Notamacropus eugenii: one gene and its partners. The protein of the gene in region 4 interacts with the protein of the main gene of each other region in a pairwise test. Links are inferred from orthologs where the notes say so. Each region holds a gene or a part of one and is shown on either strand. Other genes may lie near its edges. The genes, in order: SLC6A13, CFL1, PSMC3 and ATXN1.

Region 1 (7,545 bases), on a different chromosome or scaffold from region 4:
TCATGATTACTACCCTTGCCTTTTTTCCCCTAATATATTCTACTTCTGATCTTTATTTTATGTGTCTGTCTTATTTCCTATCTCTCTTATCTCCTCTGCTTAACTTCTACCTGCTACCTCACTCTCCTGTTACTTAATCTACCCTCTCACAAAGATACCTCCCTTATTCTCTCCCTCCACCTTTCCCCTTGCCCTCTTGTTTCTTCATAACTTTATTTATTTATATAATTATATAAATACATGTAAATTTATATAATATAAATCATATATATAAAATAATAATAAATATATAATAAATTCATTTATATATTTATAAATATATTCTTGTTAAATTTATTCCCTTCTGAATATATGTATTGTTCTTTTACCCAGATATGATGTGAGTAAAGTTCTCTCTAAAAATCTCTCCCTTATCCTTTCCCCTTTCCCTACCCCCTTAGCTTTTTATTTCTTTCTGAACTGAGAAGAGTTTTTTATACCTATATTTCCCTCCTTACTGCATTCCTAATAAAAGTAGTGTTTCAGAACTACTAGACCTCCTCCCGCATCTAATTCCTCTGTGTTGGTTCTTCCTTTCATACCGCATTTTTATAAGATAATTACTCATTTTACCTTTTTCTAAAAAGTTTTACTATTTAGAATCACATCATACTCAGGTCTGCCTCACTCTTTCTTTTGAACTACTCAGTTACTAATAGCAATCTTACACGTATGTTTTACATTTCCTCACGTGAAAAAGAAACAGTCTGTCCTTACTGAGTCCCTTATAATTAGTCTTTGAAGTGTATCTTATATTTCTCTTGAATCTTATATGTCAAATTTTCTATTAAATTCTGATCTTTTTGCAACAAAATCCTGAAAGTCTGTCAATTCATTGAATGTCCCCCCTTTTTTTCCCATTCAGATTATACTTAACTTTGCTAAGTATGATATTTTCAATCATAACCCCAGTTCTTTTGTTCTTCAGCATATAATGTTCTGAGATCTGTGGGTTTTTTTTTTAAGTGCAGCTGCTGCTAGATTTTATGTGATTCTAACTGTGATTGTCATAATGAGTTATTTTGTTTCTCGTTTCTCACAATATTTTCTCCTTGAGCTGGGAGTTTTGGAATCTAGCTATGATATCCCTGTAGTTTTTCCCAGTAGTATCTCTTTCAAGTGGTGATTAGTAGATTTTTTCTATTTCTACTTTCCCTTCTTGTGCTAATACTTCAGAATACTTTAATTATTTCTTGTATTACTCTTATCAAGATTCTTTTTTTGATCCTAGCTTTCAGGTAGTCTGATTATTCTTATGCTTTCTCTTCTTGATCTCTTCTCCAGATCAGTTGTTTTTCTTATGAAAAATTTTCTTACTTTTTTTTTTATTCTTTGTATTTTGTTTTATTATTTCTTGATGTCTTGTACTTTCACAGGCTTTCCCTTGCCAGACTCTTAATTTTCAAGGAGTTGTTTTCTTCCTTAAGATCCTGGATCTCCTTTTCCAGTTTGTTGATTTTCTATTCATAATCTTATTTTTCTTGGATTGTTCTTATTATTTTCTTTAAAATTTCCTTAATCTCTCTCATTTGATTTTTAAAGTCTTTTTTAAGTTCTTGTATGAATTCTTTTTGGGCAGGTGACCATTTGATGTTACCCTTTGGTTCAGGAGAGGTTTTTTTGTTTCACTATTCTCCGCTGAAGAGGAACCCTGGTCCTCTATATTCCCATAGTAACTCTTCATGATTGTATTCTTTCTCCCTTGCCTGCTCATTTTTTTTTTATTTGTAGCAGTTTATTATTGTAATCACCTTTAGTCCTGAGGTGTGGGGGATGGTGCTTCTGACCTCAGATCCTCCTTCAGTTCTCCCTCTTGGACCTGGAACTGAAACCAAGAACTCTGCCTTCCTGTATGTACTCACAGCCAGCAGCATCCCCAACCCCATTGCTTCTGTACTCACTCACCTAGAGTGGTGTCTGGGCAGCACAGATGGGCTTGGTGTCCCTTATCAACAAAGGTTCCCTCAATCTTTCCCACTCAGATGCCTGATACCCCACACTGTCTGGGAGGTGAAAATCCCTGTGATTGGGGCTGACCCAACCTCCCAACCAAGCTAGCCCCAGGGCTCACCACTTGCTGCTTCAGTGGAACTAGCCTGGAGATGTTTACCCTTCACAGACACCAAATATCAGTCCTTCAGATCTTCTCTGGTTGTTCCAGGAGGACCACTGTTCTACTACAACTCTTATTTATTTTTACTACTCTACATTCTCCCTGAGGCGCTATTTTGTCTTATTTGTGGGGGAAATCTGGAGATCTTGGAATTTTCTGACCTATTCCACCATCTTCCCAGAATTCGTGAGATTCTGGACTATTTGTTCTTCTAGATAATATTCCCCCACCCCAGTTCTATAAAGTAATACTCTGGTAGTTTGATTGGCATGACATTAGATAAATAGCTTTATTTAGATAGTAGTGTCATTTTTATTGTATTTTCATTGCCTACCCATGAACAATGAATATTTCTCTAATAATTTAGGTCTATTTTTATTGCTATAAAGAGTGCTTTACAGTGCTATATTTTATCAGAATTCATTGTCTGTTGATATAATAATGTGATTTTAATTCTTGTGAATTTTGTTAATAATGGCTGTTTAATATTTTAATAATGCCTTTTGTTTATGGTTTTCCTAATATTTAATCCATCCTGCATTCTTGATATAAATCCAAACTGGTCATAGCGTACAATCTTTTTAATATGTTTTTATAACTTCTTTGCTAATATTTTGTTTATATTTTTACCATATTAATTAAATATATTGGTTTACAGTTTTCTTTCTCTGTTATGTCTTCATTGCCCTCTGCTCTGTGCTTTTCATTCTTCTGGATTTAGTCATTATAATTAAACTGCCTTCTTAACCTAAAGCTCCCAACCACCCAGTACCTGGGGCCTTCTTACTTTGAAATACTCTCCCCTATTCTTGTCCTTTTCTCCTTTTGTGGAGTTCTTTCTGGGGCCTCCATCTTGGGGACAGGCTTAGGCCAACCATATTTCATTCCTTTTTGAGCTGTGTATCTTACATTCTGCACTTCATTACCATGACCCCACATGCATTCCTTTCCTCCTCCTCCTCCTCCTCTTTTATATATCTCTTCCCCCACCCCAATCATGAGAATGTAAGCTCCTTGAGGGTAGTTAATATCTTTTTGCTTGTATTTGTATCCCTAACACAACACAAGGCCTGGCATATAGTAAGCACTTAATAGATGATTGTTAGCACTTGCCTATCTCTTCCTGGTTTATTTATCTACAGTATATTTGTATGGTAGGATTCCTTTTTTATTCTTTTTGGAAATAGTGTATGTAATGTGAAAATCAATTCTTCAGATGTTTGATAGAATTCATTTGTAAAGCCATCTAGTCTTGGAGGTTTTTCTTTGGGTTTTTGTATGTCACTGGTCCTGTTTCTTTTTCTGAAACAGAATTATTTAAATTCTCTAATTCTTATGTTCATCTTCAGGATTTTATACTTTTTGTAAATATTCAGCCATTTAATCTAAGTTATTAATTTTGTTGGCATAAAATTAAGCAAAAATAAATTTTGGTTGTCTTATTTCTTCTTGAAATTCAATTAATATATAAGTTTAGATGATATGTAATTCAATGTATATATACTAAATGCTGATAGTGACTTATTATCTATGGTACCTGTAGATATAACATAGGTTCCCTGTTTATCTTTTGTAATTGTGTCTTTTACTGTACTTTGTCTAAGACCATGATTGCTACTCTTGCTTTTTTAAGTTCACCTGAAATATAATAGATTCCCCCCCCCAATAGCATTTAAGTTTTACCAATCAAATGGAAAGATAGTTTTCAATAAGATTTTAAGTTACATTTTTTTCTGCCTTCCTACCTTCCCTCTCCACCCCTCTCCTCAAGAAGGCAAGCAATCTGATGATTAATGATCATGTTAATATTTTCACATTAGTCATGTTGAGAAGGAACAAATGAGAAGAATGATAAGAAAGAAAAAAACAAAACAAAAAAGAACAAATAGTATGCTTCGATCTGCATTCGGACTCCATGAGGAAGACTTCCATGTACTTGGATTCCTTGGCCAGTTTTTTGGGGCTGGATTCCTCCCCTAGTACCCACAAGTTTCTGGATGTTTCTTCATGTAGACCTGGGTTGGGAAGATGCACTTACTATAGTTTCTCCTTAGATTTCTTGATCTTTACTCAGCCTTATTCTCATTTTTCATCCTCAGTGGATTAGTTGTGAAAAAAATGGGGCTATTCTGCTCCTATATCCTCTTCCATCTTTGCAACAATTCCCCTGTTAGAGTTTTCTTGAGCCCATTGGGTGCCACTCCCAGGTGCATGTGGTTCTATACTATGGTCATATGGATTTACATGTGCAGACTTACTCCAGGTCTTTATATAACTTGGGGTTTCTGTCTCTCTTTCATCATTACATGTGTTCCTGGTTACATATGGATGCTGCATGCACAAGAAGGATTACAACAGTCTCCCATGAATGAGATGGAAGTATTTAACTCAACCTTGAGAGTGAGAATGTGCCTTCCTGCTATACTTTCTTCTCAGTTAAAAATGTACAGCTTCTGAAAAATACATTGGATGCCATTGTAAGTTGTCTCTTTCATATTTAGACATTTTTATTTATTGAAAGGTATAGGAAAATAGTATATTTGTGTGAGAAATATTGAAATAAAACAGCTTCTCAGAGGAAACTTCTATGTGGACATGAGAGAAAGCAACCTTTCAGAGAAAACATACTTAAAGAAATTAAAGATAACTGAAGTATCATTTCCTCCAACAACTCACTTGTATGAGTGCTATGTGGATTTCAAGGGTGATAGCTATAAAAGCCTAACTAGCACTTTTTTTGGGGTAACTATGGTATAGTTGTGCATTGTTTGTCTGGAATTGGTCTTGTGATCCATGGGTGAATTTTGGTTTCTCACCCTAAGGTAGAGGTGAGTTGCTTTACACAAGGAGACCCTGCTTTGAGGCAGGGGTCAGACAGCAAATGGAGTTGGTGTCCAGAGAGAGAAGCAGAATGGCTTGAAACTGAATGGAGAAGAATTAGAAGAGCAGGAGAAAAGAACAGCTTCTTTAATGCGAACCTAGCCAAGACCAAATTAATGCAGGATAATAGGCTTTGCAGCTAGTGCTGGGAGTTGAGCTGATTGGAGGAAAGAAGAATCTTCAGCCATTTGAAGAGCTGACTGGGGAAAGGAAAGGTTAGCTAGGCTTTACTTCCTTTTACTACCACTATCTTGAAAGGTTTTTACTGTCACCTACTGCTGTAGATGGGAAAGTCCAGGAAAATTGAGTAAACAAACCGGTTTCCTGAGAGTCTAGCTGAGTCATATCATTGGTTATTTTTGAAAAATTAAGGACAAACAAGAAGTGAATAGACATAAATTGCTCTGTAGCCCCAGAGCTTCTGGCTTCATTAAAAGAGCAGTAACACCTTCTTCAGCAGCCCAAGAGTAGTAGCTAGTAAGGACCTGTAAAGAAACCAGAAGTGACCACCCAGAAGAGAAACAGTCTTGCCCAGGAGCAGATGAGTTTTGCAGATTGTCTCTTATGGAGACTGACATCCAGACTAGTAGTCCAGAGTTGTGAGTTGGTCCAGACACGTGAATTTCTCTACCTATGCATCTCTGCTAGATTTCTGCAAACTTGTGCCCACTTTCCCCCATGGATACTTTGTACATTGATGGGAGAGAATGATTTATGGGTAGATCATTATATAATGATTATTTTTGGTTTTGCCTTTGTATTTAATAAATGTTTCATGATTAAGAATTATTGGTGTCATATTGTTTGATCTGTTTCTTTGAGTAGAACATGGGTGGAGGCTCACAAACTAAAGTAATAAGCAGTTAACCTACAGTCCTTCCACATCAGGATTACCCCTAGGACTCTGAGAGAGTTGTAGCTGCATGGCCACACCCTATGGGGAACCACCCCAACCTACCAGAATGTCCAGCCTAGAGAGAGAGTTGGGGTCAGTGACATGCCTGTAATATACCATCTTCCTTAAAATGTAGTGGACTGCCCTATGCCAGCAAACGTTGGTGGGGGTATATGGGTAACATTCTTTTTCATCATCCTTAGCCCATCATGCCTCATCATTGATAAACCAAGCACCCTCTGGGATGACTTACAGCTACTTGTGAATACCCCATCTCCCTCCTCCTATTTGGTCACTGTTTTTCAGCTTGAAATCTTGTTCAATCTGTAATTTAGGGCAAATGGGTATATCTCTAGTTTCTAGAAGATAAGACACCATAGAGGGCTACTGTTCCCTTAGGACTGTCATAGCTGAAATAGTGGGCAGGAAAGAGTTGTCCTCTAGACTTAGCCCCTCTAGACTTATCTATAAAAGAGGTTTCCCAAGAAGTCTTCCCAAATGCTTTACATAAATTCTACTTCCTCTTCCTTTGGATTTTGCCCTGGACCCTCCTTATATGGGTAATCCTTTAATGTCATCTTTTTTGTTGTGTTTGGTGGATATGTCTTTATAGGAATCTGGTTGCTCAACTCTCCCATGCTTTTGTCTTTCTGTTTTCCAAGGAGTCTGAGAGTGAGTGTAAATAGAAATTATTTCTCTTCTCAGAAACTCTGAGGGTCTTCCCCTCCCTGATTGATTCTTTTGTGAAGGCTAAGTAGGCCATCTTTTACCTCAATTTTTACCTAGCCTTTGACTACTGAATGTGTGTTGCCTCAGACAAACTGAGACCTTGGGAAGACATTAACTCAAGAAGGGCAAAGTCTCTCACTGCATTCTGGGCCAGTACCAGTCATCCTGACCTATGACTTGCCTCTGGACTCTGATGACTATGGTGGAGATAGTGGGGCTGATGACTTTGCACAGCTCTGCCTCAGTTAAATCCAATTCACATGCAAATTAAAAACATCACCCTACTCATGTAATTGGTTCTCTTTGAGAATGGAGGACAAGCAGCAACAACCACCAAGGAGTCTGATTAGCTCTAATACTGGCTATATGTGATGGTGCATGTTTTTCAAAGGGCCATGGCTCTCTTCTGGGGCTCTTCTGTAGAATGCTAAACCATCTTCTCTTAATCACTTAGGGTGACTCTCCAGTGGTGTATGAGCTTGCATTTTCTCAAAGCACCAAGATTTTATAGCAAGATATGATCCCTTAGCAGGAATTCCTGACAACAAACTTTAAATTTATACTATCACTTATAGCTTTCCATGCTCTTTTGAGCTGAAACTAATCCTAGGCAATAGGCTTCCCTCAAATAATTTTTCAGGTGAGTGACATACTAGTCATGTGTCTCTATATCTTCTTGATCCTTAGAAATGCTAAAGTACAAGTCCATTGGCAGCGGGGCTCTTATCCTGTGCCTCTGGTCTTGCTCCTGGTGACATTATAATTAGAGGTCACATGCTGACTCCAATACTTTGGTGACTGCAGAAGTCCTCTGGTTTCTGGTTGGATATGTGTGGCATATCTGAACCAAAGGGCCTTCCTCTAGGGCAATGGTATCAAACTCAAATGG
Region 2 (7,525 bases), on a different chromosome or scaffold from region 4:
GCGGAGTCTTTCCTTCACTAATGGAAATAAAGCTGCCTGCTTTGGACCCAGCATGTTGTGTGCTCCCTTGAGGCTGGCTTCACGGGAAGCTAGCTCCTCCACAGAGTGAGAAGCCCCTTCCCAGTAACAGGCTCATCTGGCAGAGTTCCTCCTGGGCCCAACTCCAGGGAAAAGAGACTCATAAAACCAATAGCCCAGAGATCAGAAGGCTTGGGAAGGGCCCACCTTAGGTCAAACTGTAGGGAAGATCCAGAGAAGACGGCTGTCTTCCAGCCAGAAGGCACCGATCAAAGCCCCAGGCCCAGGCAACAATTCCGTCAGAACTCGGGAGAGATGGTAAAGGGAACCTGCCATACTTTACCATCCCCAAATCCCTCCTGCCCAGCCCAGAAAACAACTACCTGCAGAGCAGCTCACCTTTTCTTTATTTGTCTTTTTTTTAATTGAACTTTCCTTTTACTGGCCACATGAGTAACTGGGGGAGGGGGGGAGGGGAGCCGGCTGTGTGGGGGAAGGGATCTCCACAACATTCCATTTACACACCAAACTAAACAACAAGCACAAAGCCACTATTACGGTTAGAAGTTGGCAGCACCGGGGAAGGGGGAAAACTGGGGGTGTCAGTTAAAAAAAAATACTGGCCTCCCCCCCATCTGGGCATCGGGGGGACCTTGGTCTGCTACAACTCAGGAGGAATGAGAATATCAAAGGCGGTTTGGGAAGGCCAGGGGGTGGTTTGGCAAAGGGGTGAAGGGATTGCCCTGCCCCTGCTAGGATCCCCCCAGCCCTTGGGTCTGGCAGGAAGGGGGCAGCCTGCTCCCCCACTGGGCTTGGGCAGCCCCAGCAGGAGGGCCAGACGTGGGAGACTCACAAGGGCTTCCCCTCCAGGGAAATCACGGCATTGCCCCCCAGTTTCTCAGCCAGGGTACAGCGGTCCTTCACTTCCTCATAACAGTTGGCTTGTAATTCGTGTTTGATTCCTGTGAGAAGGAATGGAAATGGGCGAGTCAGAGCCAAAGTGCCCTCACTTTACAGATAAAAACCCAGCCTTGAGCTTCCAAGGTCCCACCACAGCCAGTCAGGCTTCTCACCCAGTTCTTCAGACCCAACGAAATTCGGCCTTGAGCACCAAAGAGGGTTACGCTATTGGGAATGCCATCTCTCACACACGCGCCCGCACACACACACCTGTCAGTTTCTTCTTGATGGCGTCCTTGGAGCTCGCATAGATCATTTTGCTCTTGAGGGGGGCACACTCAGGGGCCCTGGCAGGAGAGAAAACAGTCAGTGCCCAAAATTCCCAGTGCGTGCCTCTGGGCAAGCCTGGCCTTGAGGGGCCCACCGCCCTCAGACTCACCAGAAGATGAACACCAGGTCCTCCTTCTTGCTCTCCTTGGTCTCGTAGGTAGCATCGTAGAGGGCATAGCGGCAGTCCTTGTCCGGTAGCATCTTGACAAAGGTGGTGTAGGGGTCATCCACAGTCTGCCCCACGTCACCCACCAGGATCTCCTTGCCCTCCTCCAGCACGATGTTCTTCTTATCCTCGCTCAGGCAGAACAGCACGGCCTTCTTGCGTTTCTTCACCTCCTCGGGGGTGGAGGACTTGCGAACTTTCATGTCGTTGAACACCTTGATCACCCCGTCCGAGACAGCCACGCCAGAGGCCTGTGGGCACGGAGGGGAACAAGTCAGCAGGTGCTCGGAGGCTTGCCGGGCCTTTGCGGGGCACGCTCCCGGCAGAGGCGCTCTACTCCTCGTCTGACTAAACGCCGCAGAGCCCACGCTGACCAGCGTCAGAAGGCAGGACCTCAACTCTGACCTTCTGACTCTCGGCCGCCCCGAGCCCCCGGAGCCCCCGGCCCAGCTCCGGCCACGCCTCCCCTCTAGCTCAGGGGCAGCTCCTGCCTAAGGGCCGCAGATGAGGGCTCTGGAGCCCCCCTGCCCCCACAACCGGGGACAGAGCCTCCCGGGCCCCCAGTTCCAGGACGGGGGTCCTGCTCTGGCGCTTCCCCCTACCACGACACCAAAAAGGCCCCGAGGAAGCAGCCGAGATCGGCGCCGCTTCCTGAGGGGGAGGGGAAAGAGCCCGCCCCAGGAAGACAAGCTCGGCACCCCCTCAGGAAGGGGGGAGGGGTCCGGCCCAGGCCTTCCGGACCCACTTCCCCAAATTGGGCATTAGCCTCGGAGTGCCCCCCCACCCGGCCTGGGGTGGGCAGCGGCGGATCATCCTCGCCGGAAAGGGCCAGGCCGCCCCCAAGGCATCACGCAGGGCCCGACACCCCGCCCTCCTCCAGCTGCGGAGCCGCGTGCTCTGGGCTGAGCGCGCGCCCCCTCTCTTTCCCTTCCTCCCCCTCCCCAACTGCCCCTCGTTTTGCTTCAGCCCTTGGAGGTGCGCGCATGCGCGACGCCCCCGGGTACGGGGGCCGCGCGCGCCCCTAACCCCCCCCAACACTACATAACGGTTGGGAGGAGGAGGGTCGCGCGCGCGCCCGCTGCACCCAACAACCGTCAACGTCAGACGAGCACGCGCGGGGGGGGGCGTCGGGGCGCGCGCGCGCCCGCCCGGCCACCCGCCCGGCGCGCGAGCCCCTCCGCCAGCCGCCAGTCTCGCCCGCGGCGCCCCAGGAGGGGGAGGGGAAGGGATGGGGAGGACGGAGGGGAGGATGGAGAGGAGGATGAGGACACCGCCCCGCCCGCTGCACCGCCTCCACCACCCCCGCTGTCGGGCGCCGGGCCCCCTCGGAGCTCTCTGGCCCGCGCTCACCATGGTTCCGGAAAGGAGCGAGCGAGTGAGGGAGGGAGGGTGAGGGAGGAAACGAGGGCCACAGGAGAGGAGGGCGTCGCTCCTTCGCCGCCGCTGCCTGGAGCCGACTGAACGCGGCCTCTCCCGGCCCCTTCCGTTTAGTAGGAGCCGCACAATGAGAGGCGGGGCGAGCTTCCGGCGCTCTGGAGACGGGGCCGATGGGAAATGAAGTTCGGAGGCGCTGCGCCGCCCCAGGGCACGCCGGGAAGTGGAGTCTCCCCAGCCATGCTAGACTGCCCGGGGAGTTCGGGCGTTCGGCCCCCTGCGGAGAGGGGCGGGGCCAGGAGCGCTCCACCTTGGGTTGGTGTCCCGCCTCCGCTGCTCCGCGACGTCGGCTCGGGCGCCCGGGGCGAGAGGCCGGGGCTCTGGGCCCTTGGATCCCATTCCCAACGTCACAGCTGCCCAAGGGTCCCCAGTTCTAGTCCCCATTGTACAGAGAGGAAAACTGAGGCTCATCTCTTATCTCTCGTTGTCAGGAGCTGGGCACCACGTACGGCAGACGGAGAAACTGAGGCAGGAAGCCGCTGACTAAAAAAACTGGGCTTTGACGTGCAGCCTCTTTCGGTGCCCATAGGCTCATCTGTGCTTGCCTCCGCAAACACGACCAACCAGGAGACCGAGGGGAGGGGGTACACCACTCATGACTGGGTCACCGAGGGTGGGGAGTGCGGGGGGAGGAGCAGGGGATTTGCGCCCCCATGGCATTCCCTCGGAGATGTGAATGGCTGAGATTTTCGGCACTAGGAACCGAGCCTGCAGAGCCCCCCATTTCACAGATGGCATAACTGAGGCCCAAAGCCAAGGCGGTGAGATCCGCCCGGAGCCAAGGCAAGGTGGCACCCATCTTCTCGTACCTCTCCCCGCGCCCCGTCGCTTTCCGTGGGAGGGGAGGGGGCGCGGGCTTCGCGGTCGCCCTGGAGACCAGCCCCCCCCTCGCCTGCAGCTCTGGGATGCCCCAGATCGCCTTATTAGGGCATGAGCCGGGATGGGGCGGAGCCAGGCAGAGCGCCCGTGCACCGCTCCTTATATGGAAACTGAGCCTTATATGGAAACTGCGGGAGGGCAGGCCCAGGGCTGGCGAGCGCCCGGGAAATCCCTGGCTGGGCAGCAGCCGGGCGGTCGGTGACCTCTGTGCCTGCCCCTGGCCGCTGCAGTGAATGCAAAGCGCGAAGTCGGAGACCCGTCCAGCCTCCTCGCACGCTCCCTTTGTGAATTCTCTAGCTCTCTTCTCCTCTGCCCATCCCCCGGGCTCTGTCCGGAGAGCACCCGCTGCAAACGTCCAGGGCTCGAGCCGGACCCCTTGAACATAACCCGGGCTCTACGGAGCCCCCTCTGGACATCCCCCAGTCTGTAGCCCAGTCCTTTTCTTGCAGATTCCCCCCCACCAGTCGCCTTTGCACATCATTGGGGATGTATTCTTTCCTCCCCGCCCCCACCCCCGTGCAGATCTCCCGGGCTCCAGTCCCCTTTGTGAATTCTCTGGGCTTTATGCCCCAGCTCCAGTGCCCTTCGCTTCTCTAGGTTCAGACCCTTCCGCACGCCCTCTGGAGGCTCCCATCCTCCCTGCAGGCGCCGAGGCCGATCCTGCAAGAGAGCCAAGGTGAGAGCGGTTTTCTTTCGCCCTCCCGACCACAGGGGGCGCTGTTCCCGTTTCCCCATCCGCGCAGCACTCGTTTATCCCTTCCTTTCTCCTTCTGCTAGAATGCGGAAGGGGTGGGACCTCGGTTCCTGGGTGCTATGGTAGGGAGAGCCCAAATGCTGACAGCCGCGGGGGGAGCTGTGTGAGAAGCTCAGCACTCAGAAGTAACCATTCGTGGGCGGGGGGGGGGGGGGTGATGTCCACACCTTCCACCTTCGGGAAGCCTGAGAGCCGGGGCGGGGGCTCGGGTCACGTGGCGCGCGGGGAGGAGAGCGAGGCCCCGCCCCCCACCCGGAGCGCCGGCCGTTCTAACTCGAGTCAGAGCTGAGCTATGGCCGCGCCCGCGCCCCGCCTGGGCCGGAAGCGGCCGCTGCCCGCCTGCGCCAACCCGCTTTTCGTGCGCTGGCTCCGCGAGTGGCGGGACGAGGCGGCCGGCCGGGGCTTGCGGACGCGCTTCGTCTATCAGAAGGTGGGCCGGAGGGTGGGGGTGGGGTGTGCCCGGTGAGGTAGGAGCCTGGAAGGGAGTGGGGAGGGGCCTGGAAGGGGCGGGAGGTGGGCGGGGACTGGAGGGGTGGGCGGGGTCTGGAAGGCCCTGGAGGTGGGCGGGGCCAGGGCCCTGGGGGCTGACCCGCCACACCAGCGCCCCTGCACCTCCAGGCCCTGCGCTCCCTGCTGCGCTACCCCCTGCCCCTGAGGAGCGGGAAGGAAGCCAAGATCCTGCGGCACTTTGGGGATGCGCTGTGCCGGATGCTGGACCAGAGGCTGGAGCAGCACCAGGAGGCCGGCCGGGGTGAGGGGGGCCTGTCTGACACCCAGCCTGGATCTGCCTGGCCGGGCACCAAGCTAGGGGGCGAGACGAGGGGCGGGGCTGGCCTGCCGCTCTGACACCCTGGCCCTTCGCTCCTTGGGATCCAGGGGTAGCAATGAACCTAAGCCCTGCCACTCTTGTTCTCAGGCCCCTCAAAGCCTCGATATCCCCTGTTCTCAGGCCCCCCCCGGCCCTGACATCCCCCGTTCTCAGCCCCCCCGGCCCTGACATCCCCCGTTCTCAGCCCCCCCCCCCGGCCCTGACATCCCCCGTTCTCAGCCCCCCCCCCGGCCCTGACATCCCCCGTTCTCAGGCCCCCCCGGCCCTGACATCCCCCGTTCTCAGCCCCCCCCCCCGGCCCTGACATCCCCCGTTCTCAGCCCCCCCGGCCCTGACATCCCCCGTTCTCAGCCCCCCCCCCCCCCCCCCCGGCCCTGACATTTTTGTTCTAAGCTGCCCCTGTTCTGATGCTGTGGTTGTTTCCTCAGGTCTAGGCGAGCTGCGGGTCTCTGAACTTCCCCAGGTGGGGTTCAGCACACCCCCAGAGGATGCAGTCCCTTCTCAGTCGGTGAGAAGGGACCCCCTAAGGCTCACAGGGTTGGGGGGGATGGGAAATCTCTGGAAGAAAGGGGAGCTCAGAGCAGCCATTTAACATGTCCAGCCTGGGGGTGGGGTGTCCAACCCCATCGACCCGTGGAGGAGCTGAGAATCTGCCTAGGGCAGTGGTCTGGAGGCAGCCAGCACCAAGGGGCAAGAGGGAGGGAACAGCTTGGGGGGGGTCAGGAATCCTTTCCTTTTTCAGGTCCCCCCCCCAACTGAGCTTTGAAAGAAGCTAAGATCCTAAGGAGGGAGAGGGAGGAATGAATGCTGGGTGCGCCTGTCATGTTGAGATACCAAAGACACCAGAGAGGGAATGGGAGCTGGGTCCCACAGTGGCACCCGAGCTCTGGCATTTTAACCAAGACCTAGGATGGAGATGTGTGGGAAGCTAGTTGTGTGGAGGCTGGTTGGCAGTGGGCAGAGGCTGGGGCCTGAGAGATAGTCATCCAGGGCAGCAGTGAGGAGGGGCTCCAGGTGTGTGTGAAGAGGAGCTCTGCATGTCAGAGATGGGTGGATGATTGACAGGACTGGATGCCTGGTGGTATCTAGGCAGGGAAAGGTGGCCAGCCTATAAAGATGCCCCCAGGGGTGATGGCAGGAGCTTAGGAGAAACACTGAAGGTCACGTGGACAGATTACAATAACGATAACTGAACTGTGAGGAGGTCACCGAGAGTGGGTGGAGAGATGAAAGCCTAGGATGGAGCCTTGGAGAATGCCAGCTTGGTGCCAGCAAAGGCTTCTGAGGCCATCTGAGGGATGAGCCTCCCCTTTGGGGAGGGGAAGGCAGTCTCCAGGCAGGAGAATTGAGGAGGGGTGGACAAGGAAACCATCACCCTGCTCTGGGTCTGGGAAGCTGTTGGACTCAGGAGCACCTCTCCTCTGCCTGATGTAGGGCCCAGGCCAGCCCAAGGCTGGTGGCCGCAGCAGCTACAGGCCACCCCGACACTCAGCTGCCCGGGCTTTGCTGCTGATTCTCTACAGGGAGCAGCTGGTAAGCCTGGGATGGGAGTGGGAGGGTGGGGAGAGGACAGGGACACAGCCTGGAGGCAGTTCAATGAGACCAGGTAGGGTTGGGGACAGGGATGGCCCTGGGGGACACTGACCCTCTGCCTCTTTTTTGAGGATCCCAAAAGCCCAGGGTTCCTGACCAAGGAGGAGCTTCTGAGGAGGTGTGAGCAGGAAGCACCCAGGGTAAGAGCCGGGGATGGCAGGGGTCCCCAAGAGGCCAGAAGGGAGGCTTGCTGTCCACAGCCCTGCCTTGGCCTTTTCCTTTGGGGCTCATGAGAAGTTAGCCACTCAGTGACTTTGCTGTGGAGCAGAGTGTAAGGCGAAGGGCCAGTCCTTAGACATAGTCTAATCCAGCTCCTCAGTTTATAGGAGGGAGAGACTGAATCTGAGAGAGAAGAAAGAACTTTCATAAAGCTCCCCCTGCTCAAGTGGGATACATATGGGGTCCTCTGACTCCAGCCCTGGGGCCTCCTCACGGGACCATGGGAGATGACCCTTATCTGCCTCTGCCTCTTACTGGTCAGGTGACCGTTATCTGCCTCTGCCTCCCTGTCTGGTCAGGTGGCCCTCAGCAGCAGCACCCAGCCCTGGCCATCCCTGCGTTCTCTCCTTCACAGAAATCTCATCCAGAAGAGCCAGCAGCCAGCCAGGTGAGGCCCAGGGCT
Region 3 (7,600 bases), on a different chromosome or scaffold from region 4:
AGAGGTGGTGGTACGGCAGGGAATAAGTAAACGACCCACGAGACCCTTAGGTCTGTCCTCGTCCGTGTGACGAGTGTTTGTAACTGTGCTCACACAGGCGCCTCCGTACTGTCTGCAGTTATTTCAGAAATGATGATGTTATGTGGCTGGAGTGGGTCACTCTCTCAGCGAGCTTCCTGCCTGCCTCCGCTCTCAGGGCAGCCAGCCTTCGCCCCCTCCACGCTCCCCCAGACTCCCTTTTACACTCTGGGTTCACAGAGTGTCAGAGCTGGGAGCGCGGGGAGTGAGCACAATGGGAGAGAGCCCCTCCAGCCCACAAGTCCTTCAGCTGGGGCCCACCAACAAGAACCCCACGCTGCATTTCCACGTAACTGGTCTTTGGGCGACCCAACAAGGGATCCGCACCTTCCCCAGCTGCCCAAGGGCTGCGGGACCAAAGGCCTCCTGCTACAAGACAGATGGCAGCAGCCCGTCCTCCCCATTTCACACAGCCCCCAGAGCCCGTCCTTCCCTACCTGCCCCGCGGGCGGCCAGGTGCTGCTGAGTTCAGACCAGGCCTTCTGCCTGCCTCGGTTTCCTCATCTGTAAAACGAGCCGCACAAGGGAGAGGCAAAGCACTGCTGCAGCCCGGGGGGCCGCTCTGACGGTGGCTGTCCCTCTCCTTGGGGGGCCCGCATAAGGCTCCCTAACCCTGGGGATTCCCAGAGCACAGGCCTCTGCCGTCTACACTGGCTCCCTAACCCTGGCGATTCCCAGAGGGCGGCTCCCTTCTGTCTACACTCGCTCCCTAACCCTGGCGATTCCCAGAGGGCGGCTCCCTTCTGTCTACACTCGCTCCCTAACCCTGGCGATTCCCAGAGGGTGGCTCCCTTCTGCCTACACTCGCTCCCTAACCCTGGCGATTCCCAGAGGGTGGCTCCCTGCCGTCTACACTCGCTCCCTAACCCTGGCGATTCCCAGAGAGTGGCTCCCTTCTGTCTACACTCGCTCCCTAACCCTGGCGATTCCCAGAGGGCGGCTCCCTGCCGTCTACACTCGCTCCCTAACCCTGGCGATTCCCAGAGGGCGGCTCCCTGCCGTCTACACTCGCTCCCTAACCCTGGCGATTCCCAGAGGGTGGCTCCCTGCCGTCTACACTCGCTCCCTAACCCTGGCGATTCCCAGAGGGCGGCTCCCTTCTGTCTACACTCGCTCCCTAACCCTGGCGATTCCCAGAGGGCGGCTCCCTTCTGTCTACACTCGCTCCCTAACCCTGGCGATTCCCAGAGGGTGGCTCCCTGCCGTCTACACTCGCTCCCTAACCCTGGCGATTCCCAGAGAGTGGCTCCCTTCTGTCTACACTCGCTCCCTAACCCTGGCGATTCCCAGAGGGCGGCTCCCTGCCGTCTACACTCGCTCCCTAACCCTGGCGATTCCCAGAGGGCGGCTCCCTGCCGTCTACACTCGCTCCCTAACCCTGGCGATTCCCAGAGGGCGGCTCCCTGCCGTCTACACTCGCTCCCTAACCCTGGCGATTCCCAGAGGGCGGCTCCCTTCTGTCTACACTCGCTCCCTAACCCTGGCGATTCCCAGAGGGCGGCTCCCTTCTGTCTACACTCGCTCCCTAACCCTGGCGATTCCCAGAGGGCGGCTCCCTTCTGTCTACACTCGCTCCCTAACCCTGGCGATTCCCAGAGGGTGGCTCCCTGCCGTCTACACTCGCTCCCTAACCCTGGCGATTCCCAGAGAGTGGCTCCCTTCTGTCTACACTCGCTCCCTAACCCTGGCGATTCCCAGAGGGCGGCTCCCTGCCGTCTACACTCGCTCCCTAACCCTGGCGATTCCCAGAGGGCGGCTCCCTTCTGTCTACACTCGCTCCCTAACCCTGGCGATTCCCAGAGGGCGGCTCCCTTCTGTCTACACTCGCTCCCTAACCCTGGCGATTCCCAGAGGGCGGCTCCCTTCTGTCTACACTCGCTCCCTAACCCTGGCGATTCCCAGAGGGTGGCTCCCTGCCGTCTACACTCGCTCCCTAACCCTGGCGATTCCCAGAGAGTGGCTCCCTTCTGTCTACACTCGCTCCCTAACCCTGGCGATTCCCAGAGGGTGGCTCCCTGCCGTCTACACTCGCTCCCTAACCCTGGCGATTCCCAGAGGGCGGCTCCCTGCCGTCTACACTCGCTCCCTAACCCTGGCGATTCCCAGAGGGCGGCTCCCTGCCGTCTACACTCGCTCCTTGCCCTCCTCCACCTTCTCTCCGAGCTGATGCTCCCTGATGCTGCCAGGACACGAGTGGGGGCCGCACACAGGAGGCGCCTAATGGATGCTGCCTCTCCCCTCCCTTTAGTCCTGCCTGGGCCTAGGCCAGCAGCGGCTTGACTTCCTTCTCCCGCTCATGTGACAGATGAGGAAACTGAGGCAGGCAGAGTGAAGCCACGCGCCCAGCGTCGGAAGGGTCTCAGGCCGAACCTGAACCGGGCCTCTCCCCCTCCTGAGCACGCTCCGCATTGCAGCCAAAGAGATCTTCCCCCCGGGGCCTTCGCGCCGGTTCAAGCCCCGCTCGGGGCCTTTGCGCCGGCCGTGCCCCCCGCCTGGAGCGCCGGCCGCCCTGGCCTCCCCTCCCCGCCTCCGCGCGAGGCCTCGCGGTTCCTCTCCGGCCCGGCCCCGGCCCCGGCCCCTCCGTACGCAGCAGGCGCCCCCGCCGGCGCTCACCTCAGCCTCGTCCCACACGGACGCCATCTTCTCCTGCCGAGTCACTGGGCCCCCACTTCCGGCCGCACATTCGACGCTCGGCCGCCGGATGCGGAGGGGCGGCGGGCCCGCGCGGGGATAAAGGCCCAGCGCCGAGCCCGACCAGCGCCGCTTAGCCCGGCCTCCTGCCGCGCGGCCCGGGCACCATCGGCGGCCTGCCTCGGTCAGCGACGCTCCGGGAGCGCGGCTGCGGCGAATCTGCGAGACCGCTTCGGGGAGGGGCGGGGCGGTGAGGAGGAAGTCGGGGCGAGCGGGGCGCGGTCACGTGCCACTGGTCCCGCCTTCGGCCGGCCTGCTTCCGGGGAGGGGCGAGCTCTCGGCCGTCATTGGCTCCGGCGGCGGCGGCGGCGGCGCCACGGTCTACGTCACGAGGCTGCGCTGCCTCGCGGGCTGTCGGGATTCGTAGTTCTCAGGGAGCAGCGGGGGCTCCCCCGAGGGAAGGGCTTCGGGTGGGAAGGCTGCCTGGAGGAGGCGGAGCCGGACGGCGATAATCGCGATAGTCGCGCGCTTCCAGGCTTCCACGAGGCGTCCAGATGCGAGTAGCCGGGGAGACTGAGGCGTAGGGAAGCCAGGGGTGGCCTCCTTAAGGAGCCGCCCGGAGCAAGGGATGGCTCCGCGTGCGCCCACGGCAGGGGCACTGATTAAGCGCCTACTGTATGCCAGGCTAAGCCGCCCAGTCGGATGGGGGAGCCATCCAGCACACACACAGGAGGTGCAAAGCTAGCTCAAGGCGGGACACAGAATCAGCATTTATCAAGCACCCACTGTATGCCCTGTAAGCTGGGGGATGCCAGCTAGACAAAGCCAGCTCCAGCACAACAGCTCAGGGAGCCAAGGGCTAAAAGGTGGGGTTTTAGCTGGGATTCCAGGAAGCCCTTGGGTGAGGACACGGCCGCCCAAGAAGATGCCCCGAGCCAAGATGACCTGCAGCCAGGAGGCCAGGGCCGCTGCGGGGCAGGGAGGCAGGTGCCAGAGGCCTAGCTGGGCAGCAGGGGGCACCGAGCTCGGCCCTCGGGCAGGGCAGGGCCTGGGCCTGGGCACCAGCTCTGATGGCGCTGGCGGGTTGGTGCCCCTGCCCGGGCTCTCCCCCCTGTCCTATCTCCCTGGACAAACACCAGCTGCTTCTTTCTTGAGGCCTCTCTCCTTATCATTCCCTGACACTGAGAAGAGCTGGGCAGGGCCCACAAGGAGGACAAACAGGCTTCTGTCCAGGGCTAATCTTTTTATACAACGCTGGGTTCCCAGTTTTCTCGCTCCATCCTCTCCCTCTCCCTAAGACAGTAAGCACTTTGAAATGGGTTGTAACGTGCAGCCACGTAAAACCTGTTTCCATATTGTGTTCGTTCTTCGTGGCCATCAGAGACATGAAGACACGACTGCACTTGACTTTGTTGTGAGGGACAGAGGGCTGTGCAGGTCCCTGGCCTCACCTCCTCCAGAGCCATGTGGGTTCGGTGCCCAGGTGTTCCTCAGGATGACTGGAGATGGCCCAGGATGCCCTGGGAGGCCGTGGGCCCTTTAGGCCACGGTCTGTGCAGGCACTCTTCATATTGTGAAAGAAGAAAGTTTGGAGGAAAAAAACTAGTTTGCGAGACTACACACACACAAAAATAAAGTGAAAGGTGTGCTTTGATGCAGTCAGACTCCATCAGTTCTTTCTCTGGATGTGAAGCCCACGTTTCACGGCCAGCCTTTTGGAACTCTCCCGGATCATCGCTGAGGACAGCCAAGTCTCAAAGCTGGTGCCCACACACGTTGCTGTCCCTGTGCCACGTTCCCCTGGCTCTGCTCGTTTCACTCGGCATCAGCTCATGGAAGTCCAGGCCTCTCATCATTTCTTATAGCACAACAGCTCTCCATCACATTCATACGCCACTCCCCAGCACATGGGCATCCCCTCAGCTTCCAGTTGTTGGCCACCACAAAAAGAGCTGCTATAAATGTTTTTGTCCATGTGGGCCCTTTTCCCTTTCTTACGATCTCTCTGTGATACAGACTAAGCAGTGGTATTGCTGGATCAAAGGGTCTGACGTTTGATTGCCTTCTGGGCATAGTTCCAGAGCTAATTTTTAATCTCTAATAAAACCTAAAGGCCAGTTAGGTTGTATGGTTGCATGGAAGACTTGAGTTCAAATCTAGTCTCAGGCACTACCTACCTGTGTGATCTCAGCAGCTCACTTAACCCGTCTACATTCGTTTCCCCATCTCCATTTGTACAAAAGGGGATAATAGCTGCTACTTCTCAGGGTTGTTAAGAGGATAAAATGAGGTATTTGTAAGCTATTCTGCAAGCCTTGAAGTGCTATATAAAAGCTAGATGGCTAGTATAATACATTGTTTTTGGTGAACTTTTGTGAACTTCCTATGTAATTCTGTTAATTCTACTACTTCTGTTATTAGAATAGATAAAGCAGATATTACAGGGAACAGAGTAGCTGGAATGCTGGGCTTAGAGGCAGGAAGCCCTGGTTTTCAGAAGCTGCCTCTGACAGTACTTGTGTGAGCCTAAGCAAATTACTTAACCTTTATGGGCCTCTCAGGCAACTTCTTGGGATCCCTCTAGGTCACAGACCAACTGCCATGTGGGTAGGTAGAAAGCATTTCCACATTAAGTGTGCCTGGCACACCGTAGGTGCTTAATAAATGCTCACTCCTTTCCTATACTGAGATCCTTCTTGTATCAGTCATATTTGATATTCTAATTAATGTGTCACCTCTCCCCTATAGTGTATACTTCTCAAAGTCAGGGACAAGTTTTATCCACACTGTATTTTTCTCAACATCTAGCAAACTGCTTTGTAAACAGTAGGTTCTTAATTCTTGTTGAATAAATACTTTGGGACAGGTTCACAAACCAACCTCATCAATACATAAGCTATCCACATGTGCCTTGTCATAGGCACATGACAAAGGTTTGGGAAAGGCTTCCTATAAAAGGTGGGATTCTCATTGGGATTCAGGGAAGCCCTCAGACGAAGGGAGAGCATTTCAGGGATGGGAGACAGCCCAGAGCACAATTAGCTTTAGTCAGACCTGGGTAGAAATGATTGCCTTTTTATTTTTCTATAAAGAAGGGAATACAAACAAGTGCAGGGTGGGCTGGCTGGAATCATCTGGGGAGCAGTGGGGATGGGGGAGGGCCGCTTCTTGCCTGGTGCCTGGTATACTGGCCCAAGCTGAGACAGTCTCAGAGAGTCGTATCCTACTGTGGGGGAAGTCGGTCACCCAGTCTCAGGGTTGAGCATGACAGCAGGGGAGGGCGCAAGGCAGCCCCCCGAAAGGGACCAGATAACCCCAGTTACTGCCACCACCCCAGACAGGAATCTGGCTTCCAGAATGCCAACTTTCCCCCGAGGGGAAAGGGAACAAATGTGGGGGGCCAAGTAAAGGACAGAAACATGGCAGCCGGGAAGGCTAGGATAGGGTGAGGGCCAGGATGACAATGAAACTGGACTCCTCTGGGCCACTGTGACAACAAAGCTAGCCTGTGGAATTCAAGGGGGAAACCCCAGAGGACGTGGCTTTGGCAGAGTTCATGGAAGGGGAGCTCTGAGTAGGCTAACGATGCTGAGGTCACAGTAGGCGAGGAAATCCTTGGTGGGTCCAGGACTGCAGCACGTCCAGGCAGATGAGGGAGGCCTGGGCAGTGACTGGAAGAGGAGGAGGAAGGGACCTGTTCGTGCTTCTCCCTCAGGCCCCTTCCAGGCTCACAGAGGGGTGTCAGTCCGTTACACAAAGCCCGGCTTCATGGAGGAACGGCGGCAATTGGGACAGCTCCGGGTCCCATTGTTCTGTAAGCACCTTATGGGGCAAAGAGGATTGCTCATGAACCAGCTGCCCCGATCATGCACTGTCACCCTGGAACTTCCTCATGACCTTCCCCTGCCACTGCCCCTCTCCAGGGGCTCATCCTCACCCAGCATAAACCTTAATCCTCCCCTAAAGGACACTCTGGGGTCACGTGGTGAGGCCTTCCCCAAACCTTCAGCTGGAACCAATTCTCCCTCTGAAATGCTGTCCTGGCTCTGGCCAGGGACCCTCCCAAATGCTGTTGAGTCTGGAATGATCTGGATTCCTGGAAGGCAGGAACCATTTCGCTACACCTTTTTACCACCACAGCACCCTACACAGAACAGGAAGAGCAGTGAGGGAAGAGGGCAAGGTGGAAGTTAGGGCCCTACAAATGGTCACCTCCTGAAAGTGCAGAAACGTAGCAAGAAGCAAGCTTGGCAAAGGCGAGGCACCTGCATTCAGGCACTGCCCAATCTGGCTGTGGGTGCAGCCAGCTGCCCAGCCCCCTGGTAATGTCTCCGCAGAACTGTCCCGAGCTATCCAGTACCAGCGGCACCATGCTCCCTGTCAGTCCTAGCCACCAGGAGCAGACACTCCACAAGCAGCACTTGGGCAATCTCCTCCAGCCTTTTACCTTAGGTGGAAGAAGTGGGAGCAGGGCAGGGCCTGCAGCCGGTTGTTCCTCTCCCCAATGGACTCCCCACAGAGCCCACAGTATAGCTCGGTCTCCTCTACACACTCATGGAAGCGCACGACGTGAGCCCGCAGCTCCCGTTGCTGACCCCTGCTGCGATAGATGCCCTCGCTCAGGCAGTGGAGCTTCAGCTGACTTAGCTGGTGCACAGAGAGGAGACAGGTACATGGGGGTGGCAGAGGAAAGGATACCAGACTATATGGAGCCATTCAGGGGCATCCCTCAACCTTGGCAGTGCCCCCATGCCTTTTAGCAGTTGTCCAGCGACCCTGAACAACGGGTAGCAGCTAGGTCTCACAGGGGAAGGGATTCAGATGGGTCTGCTGCTTAGTGGGTGGTCTGACAGTGGGGGAGACCCTCTGTCTCACTGCCCCTAAGCCCACC
Region 4 (7,340 bases):
CTCTTGTAGCACCCTCCGTCAATAACCTTCATTCCGAGGAGTCAGCGGATCAAACTATTTTCATCCGATGAATAATGCAAAGAGGTTGTTGGAAGATGGCAGGGGTCTCTGTTAACTGAAGGTTTCATCAGAAATCCAAATGCAGAAAGCTTACCTAAGGCATTAGCAAAAGTGTGCCTAAATAAATCTGATAACTAACTAACCATTACTACATAATATATAACAATGACGATTAAATATTAAGTGCAGTCCACATCATAAAAAACAAATGTCACCAAACTGGGAATACTCTGTATCTAAAACTGAACTTATTCACCTATACACACGGCTGTGTATTCAAGACCATATTTTAAGGAGAGGATGATATTTCAAAGCATTAGCTTTTATTGTTTATGCACAACGGGGTCTTCTGATTTTGTTAACTGTATCCTGAGCATCTTGTGGGGGAAGCTCAGAATCTCATCCGGGATAGATCCAGTTTGGAGGAGTCCCTACTGCACAGCATACGGTAAACAAAATAAAAATAGCTTGTTCTTGTTATCCACATAGAGCATTATATAACCAGCTTCCGACTTGGGTTTTTTTTTTTTTTTGCCATTACTACTCCTCAGCAATTTTCCCATCTGCAAAAGTATTTAAATGTTCCCAATTTTTGTAGGGTTGTAGCTATCAAAAACAACAAAACAAAACAGTGCTGGAATGGGTTTTTGCTGATTCCCAACGTCCTTGGAAACTGTGCAGTGTCCCCCCCTCCCCGACACAATCTCCATCAGCTTCAGTCCCTCCTCCCTCACCCCTCACCAAGGTTCTCCCTAGAAAATCGGAATTGTTTTACCACTTCCAGCAAAAACCCTGCATGGCCTGAAATAAAACGAAAGCCCAGCACAGGAAGTTTGAGGCCAACTGAGGCGGGGGAAAAGGTGAAGGGGTTGAAGCTGGTGCAGGAAGAAAAAAAAAAAAAACAAAAAGCAGGAGACCAGAGATGACCAAGGTCCCAATCTCAAAGTCCCTTTCTAAGCATGACCCCTTCCCCCAATACACACACACACACACACACACACACACACACACACGCTCACACACGCTCACACGCACGCACGCACACGCCCCTCTTATTACAACACCTCACTTCTACCTCTCCCCTTTGGGCCCCGCTTGCACACCCTCCCCCTCTCCCTCGCTTGCCCTCTGGGGACTGGCCTGCACTCACTCAGCACTGGAACAAGTAGGAGGCGGTGGTAGTGGTAGTGGTGATGGTGTCTCCGGCCTGGCCCGGCCCTGAGTGAGCAGCGGGGCTACTGGGCGCATCCCAATCCCTGCAGCGTCTCCTCCTCCTTCTCCTTCCCCTCCTCCTGGCTTCATTCACCCTCTCAGCAGCCACACAAGCCCTTTCACTCTAGGCACGGGGGCAGGACTTGCCCCGCGGCCACCAGCTCCTCTACTACTCTCTTACGCTCTCTCCCGTGCAACGTGCAGCCGGCACCCGCGAGCAGCCTCCCCTCACCCCTCGAACCGAGTGCTAGCCAGGCACCGGGCAGCGGCAGCAGAGCGGCGGCGGCGGCGGAGGCAGCAGCAGCAGCAGCAGCAGCAGCAGCAGCAGCAGCAGCAGCAGCAGCAGCAGCAGCGGAGGCTCCCTCCACATGATCAGGAAGCCGCCGCACAAACAAGGCAGCAGCCAGCCAGGGCCGCCACTCCAGCCGCGGCCGCTGCTCCGGGCACCCACAGACACACTCACGCGCGCGCGCGTCCCCTCCCCGTTACCCTTGCCAGCCTCAGTCTCTCTGTGTCTGTCTCTGCCTCCCCCTTACGCCCCCTCCCCAGTGCTCCCACCCCTCTTCTTCTAGCCAGGGCAGTAGGTCTTGGTCACTTGCAAAGTCCTGGACAGACCCCCCCCCCCCCACACACACACAGAGTTTCCACTTCCCCTAGATGTGTACACACACACACACACACACACACACACACACACACACACAGATGGACAATCTTCCCAGGCTTGGCGACCCCCAGTAGCAAAGAGGAAGAAGCCGGTAAGCTGGGAGTCCAGCCCTCCCCAGAATCAACACATACCTACGCGTGCACGCTCGCTCACACACACACACACACACACACACACACACACACACAGAATCCCTCCTTCCCAGTCTGGAGAGTGCAAAGTAGGGGTGAGTGGGGGGAGTGTTGGGGGGGCTGAGGTGGAGAGGAGTGCAGGCTGCTGCTGACTCCCTCTGCGCCACCCCGAGGGAGGACATTTCTTACAGGCACTCGGGAGCCCGAGTGGCAGCAGCAGCAGTAACAGGGGTGCACTGAATCTCCCCGGGCACCCAGGGACAATCCACCCCCCGCCCCCTCCCCCCAGGGGCGCGTGTCCCCCACCCCCTCCCGCCCACACCTATTCCATCTGCTTCCTGGCCTGTTCCCTTAGCCAATTGCCCCAGCGCTAGGAGTGGGGGTGTTGGCAACAGAGAGGCTGAAGCGTAGGAAGGTTGTATGTACACACACGCACACAACACACACACACAACACAACGCGGATCATTTTCTTCTCTGCTCTTCCAGCTGTGGTTGGTGCCGCCGCCGTTTGAGGGTTTGGGTTGGATTTGTTTGTTGTTGTTGATGATGTAGTTCCCGGGATAGCAGAAAGAAGGGTCTTAATCTATATAAGGGGAGAAGAGGACGGGGAGGGGGGAGGGGGAAGAGGGGGGAGGAGAGTAGAAGGGGGAGGGGGAGAGAAAGAAACAGGAGGAAAAAAATAGCCACTTACTGTAAAGTGTAAATGGATCTGGGGTTGCTTGGGGAAGGGGGGCAGAGGGAGAGAAACAATGTCTTGCGGCGGCTGTTGCTGCTCGCTGCTGCTGATCCACAGGGCTTGTTTTTTATCCCCCTGCAGTGAAACAGGTCCTGGACGCCTCTGCCACTGTAGTAGAAATGATGTCTGCGGTATACACTGCTCTCTCCTCCTCCTCCACTCCCCTCCCTCTCTCCCTCCTCCCTCCACCCCCCTTCTCTCTCTCTCTCTCTCTCTCTCTCTCTCTCTCTCTCTCTCTCTCTCTCTCTCTCTCTCTCTCTCTCTCTCTCTCTCCCTCTCTCCCTCTCTCCCTCACTCTCTCTCTCTCTCTCTCCCTCCCTCTCTCGCTTGCTCGCTTGCTCCAGTATGTAAATGTGTAATAGAAGCCAAATATGGAGCAGTTGGCTGCCGCTGCAACCGCTCAAGGATCCTACTGGGGGGTGGGGGGGAGTGAAAAGAGCTGGGGGGGGGGGGGCGGGGGCAGAGGAGGCCGGACTGGGGTGGGGGGGGAGGGGGAGGAGGCAAGGCAACTCTTTGGCGAACATCCAAGAGAGCCACACAGATTATTGCATACGCACAGCAGAGCCCGGCCAGCCGGGCTTAACCCTTCCCTGGTCTCTGCACAGCCTTCTTCTAAGAATTTACTGGGAGGGATTAGGGACTGGCGGGGGGTGGGGGCTGGGGGGAGAGAGGAAGCAGTTTTCATTCCAGAACCTGCACGCATTAACCACTCCTCGGAAAAAGTAGCTTTTTGGGGATGGGAGGCGGTGAGGGATGATAGTAAAGGAAGGGTGGCAGAAATGAAAGGTCAAGGTGGTGGGACTGGCTTATTTAAACCTCAGAGGGTGGGTTCTTACAACGCCTCCGCCACTGCCTCCCCCCTACACAGACACACGCACACGCACACACGCTCACACACTCTTCTTTCACTTCCTTGGCAAGCAGGCAGGGAAAGGTCTCCGAGGAGCTCCGACTGACTTTTTTTACTCAAACCCCAAGGAGGTTACAGAAGTGTCGACTTCCAGGTGAGTGCCAGAGAGAGAATTACTCAATCGACATTGACCTAACCGAACTAACCGCTCCTCTGGACACAGATGCTCAAAGTGTCTTGCCTCTGCTAAATGAACAACTCATGTCAACCCTGAAACCGGTTGAGCGAGCAAGTGGGTTAGCAGTTCAAGGCTTGGGAACTCATTCTTTAATGCAGAAGATCGAGGATGACTACGAGGTCCCTGAAATCTGCACTAAATTCTATTGGGGAAACTTTGAGGGACTCCCCTTTCCCTTACCTCCACTTTCTCTGAAGCCTAGTAACTGACTACCCCTTGCCCATTCCTTTACTCTCGAAAGCAGGCCAGAAAAGATTCTTTGGACCCGGATGTTCAGTAACTATTCCTAATGTCTCAGCAGAGCAGCCAGCTACAAGAGACAACATCTTCACCTGGACAATGTCAAGTTCATTGATTTAATCCGAAATGAGGTCCTAGTGAAAGTTGGGGAATGGCAGATGTCAAATGAACTTTAGACAGCTGATTCAAGCACATCCTCTGGGCTCAGTGGTAAACTCTTCGGGGTTGTTAGGGTTTTTTTTTTTCTTTTCTTTTTTTTATCCCTTAGTTGAATGTTACCTCAGTAGGAAGGAATCTCTTTCTGAGAATTATTCACCTTGCCAACAGGTGTGGCATACATAGAGGAAAAGAAGCCACATTCATGCTGAAGCAAGCTCAGTTTCCTCTTACAGCAGATAAATGGGGAACCTATAGGTGTCGGGACACTGTCTGGTCTCCTTCATGGAGTTAGTCTGGATAAACAGGGAACATTCAGCTCAAAAAGAAGTTTACATTGCATTTTAATACTCTACTTGTTGCCTCTATGTTGAATGGATCTTTCAGCCTCATTCATGTGTGACTGAAATACATTAGTCAACATGTCATGCAAATCCAGAATCACCAAAAGAAATGTGGTGTCAGCTTGTAGCCCCCTGAAGGGCTGCAAAGCCTTGTACTTTAGATATGAAAATAAAATAGTGTGTTGAGTATGAAAAATAATTTTTTCTATCATTTTGAAAATCCGAGCTCATAATTTGTTACTCATGAAAAAGAACCATTGGTCATCATTACTCATTTTTATTTATTTTTACCATTTGAAAATCCAGGGTCTGCTGTACAATGACATTGTTGGTCTCATTACAGCCTCTAGTGGACAGTTATGATCCATTTCTCAAAAAACTGTGATCTTTTTTGCTGTTCCAATGGACAGGCATTAGCAAAGTGAAGGTTGGTATCAAATAACATAACAAAACATAAAATTTTAACCTCCTCATCAGAGTGGGATTTTGAACAAAAACAGGAACTGGTTGGTTTTATGCAGTAATGGCTTCTTTTTGGAGCCTCAGGTATTATTACTGGCTTGTGAATAAATAGAGAGCTGCTGCTATTCCTTTCAGCTTCAGACAGCTTTCATAAAAACTAAATTCATCTAAAATATTTTTATAACAGAAAATATTGGTTGCCATGTTTTTGGCTTAAGTGAGACATTTTTATTCCAACTCATAATCTGCAGACTGTCCAATCCACCTCCAGTCTATTTTTAGTCATCTTGCATTAAGAGAATTTTTTTTAATAAAGAAGCAAATATTTTTATTATTTCATTGACATAAGCAGTTCAAGTTATTTTAACAGCCTTCAGCAAATTAAAACTCATAATTCAGATTAAAGTCAGTCAATTAATTTAAATGCACCCTTAAGGAAACTAAATCTGTATATTACTAAGACAGTAAAACAAGAATGTGCATTAATTTCTGAGATGAACAGCCATAAACTATGACTTAAATCTGTAACTATTTCTTCCTGCAAGTCCAAAAACTAAGCATAATTTTCATGATACCGTTTCATTATCTAGGGTATTGGAGACAGTTGTTTTCAGATGAGAAAGGATTAAATTGAAAATAAGACAGATCTGGCACTGTCTCTTTAAAAGTGAGACTATCTCATGCAAATAAAAGCTTAGTCAAAAGAGTACAGCTTTCATGAAACAGTAAGCAAATGTGTAGTACTATAGTACTATTCACAAACCAGATATTACATTCACACATGGACAAGGCAAACTTTAAAAGACAAGGAAATGCCTAGAAAAGCCTTCCATTCTGTCCTCTGCCACCATTGTACTCCTGGATTCGGGGAATCTTCCTACCTAACATATGTCTTGGATTACTTAGCTATCAGGAACATATAAAGAAGTCTACCCATTAAATTTTATTGGCTGCATGTTTGTGGGATTAGAAATATTGTATCAAGAATGCTTTTATACTTTAAAATAATTGGCTATAAAATAATAGTTTCCAAAAAAGTTCATAACTCCCACAGTATTCCACTTAACTCCTATGTTCATTCATCCCCCTTGTCTCTTCTGTCTGTTCCTAGAGTCTTGTCCCCATCAGTTTGTGCCTTTAAAGGTTTGGGGGTTTCTTAAAGACATAATTATTTTCTGCCATTTCTGTGTTCTAGTTCATGAACTCCCTAATTTGTGGACACAGTAGTAATTTTTTTCAAAGACATTGCACCCTGCTGAGGAAATTGTACTGAAGTCTGGATGAGTTAATGTTTCCATCAAAGCAGTAGAGGGAGCACAAGCGTGCTGAATGTAATAATTGTATGGGTCTCCAACTTCAGGGCAATTTAAAAATAGTGGTTCATAAATCGGTTTATTGGCAGTCGTTGGATAGGTATGCTTTGTTTAATTATTGACAGAGATATGGAGTTAAAATATTTACTACCACGTTATAGCAGTTAGATATGGACTGATGTAGGCATCTTTTCAAGTTTAGTACTCAGCACATACACCTATTTAGAATTTTTATTTAAATTCTTTGATGGAATTTTGATCTTATTCCAGTATCCTCCACCCACCCAAAACTCATAACATACCCAAATCAAACACTGCAACTTTGGATAGACCTTCCTCAAAAACAGTTAACTCATAAACACAGTCAGCCTTGTCTCATTTTGACTGAAGGACTTAGCAAAAAAGACATTTGCACAGGATCACAATAATGTTGTTTGGAATGAAGTATTATTTTAAGAATATATAATAATATTAATTTTTCATCAGTTTTGACTGCTTAGCTTTAAGGCACATGATGAGAATTTATCTTATATTTGTGTAGCACCCTATATACTTTGAAAGCCCTTTTAAAAAGATTTCATCTTTATATATTTCTGTGAGGTAACTAAGATGATAAATGAGGCCACTGAGATTCATGGAGATTATATAATTTAGGCAAGGTTACAGACTAGTGTCAGAACTTGCTGGAAAACCCACATCTATTGACTCTTAGAAATTCAGCTCCAGTTGAATTTCTCCATAACACCTGTAAGTGGATTATAAAATTCATTTCTTACTGATCTATTCAAGAGGCCTAGGTTCAAATCTTGACTCTAAAATTACCATTATCTTCCCAGTGTAGTCATTTAACCCCTCTGAATATCACTTCTTTCTTTTATCTGTGTTTACCTAGGGGAACAAATCTAATTCTTTAGGAGGTGAATTTCTGT

Evidence for each region.
Region 1: the proteins of ATXN1 (region 4) and SLC6A13 interact in binary tests that used the Homo sapiens proteins (3 or more experiments, as listed by UniProt). The link is inferred for Notamacropus eugenii from reciprocal best matches to the Homo sapiens genes ATXN1 and SLC6A13.
Region 2: the proteins of ATXN1 (region 4) and CFL1 interact in binary tests that used the Homo sapiens proteins (3 or more experiments, as listed by UniProt). The link is inferred for Notamacropus eugenii from reciprocal best matches to the Homo sapiens genes ATXN1 and CFL1.
Region 3: the proteins of ATXN1 (region 4) and PSMC3 interact in binary tests that used the Homo sapiens proteins (3 or more experiments, as listed by UniProt). The link is inferred for Notamacropus eugenii from reciprocal best matches to the Homo sapiens genes ATXN1 and PSMC3.

The regions. Positions count from the first base shown.
Region 1 is NC_092874.1:203,661,775-203,669,319, reverse strand, and holds the start of SLC6A13 (sodium- and chloride-dependent GABA transporter 2), read left to right. Parts: upstream 1-4,544; 5' UTR 4,545-4,629; intron 4,630-7,545. UniProt on the Homo sapiens protein: Mediates sodium- and chloride-dependent transport of gamma-aminobutyric acid (GABA). Mediates transport of beta-alanine. Can also mediate transport of taurine and hypotaurine.
Region 2 is NC_092873.1:18,552,604-18,560,128, forward strand, and holds CFL1 (cofilin-1), read right to left. Parts: upstream 3,002-7,525; 5' UTR 2,768-3,001; coding exon 2,765-2,767; intron 2,309-2,764; exon of another isoform or gene 2,199-2,308; intron 1,666-2,198; coding exon 1,358-1,665; intron 1,266-1,357; coding exon 1,189-1,265; intron 981-1,188; coding exon 868-980; 3' UTR 407-867; downstream 1-406. Other genes in the region: crossover junction endonuclease MUS81, read left to right, coding at 4,774-4,911, 5,100-5,232, 5,739-5,818, 6,745-6,843, 6,975-7,043, 7,422-7,510.
Region 3 is NC_092877.1:3,554,231-3,561,830, reverse strand, and holds the start of PSMC3 (26S proteasome regulatory subunit 6A), read right to left. Parts: upstream 3,009-7,600; 5' UTR 2,719-3,008; coding exon 2,692-2,718; intron 1-2,691. Other genes in the region: RAPSN (43 kDa receptor-associated protein of the synapse), read right to left, coding at 6,459-6,531, 7,157-7,356.
Region 4 is NC_092875.1:189,266,999-189,274,338, forward strand, and holds the start of ATXN1 (ataxin-1), read right to left. Parts: upstream 3,010-7,340; 5' UTR 2,764-3,009; intron 1,736-2,763; exon of another isoform or gene 1,211-1,735; intron 1-1,210. UniProt on the Homo sapiens protein: Chromatin-binding factor that repress Notch signaling in the absence of Notch intracellular domain by acting as a CBF1 corepressor. Binds to the HEY promoter and might assist, along with NCOR2, RBPJ-mediated repression. Binds RNA in vitro.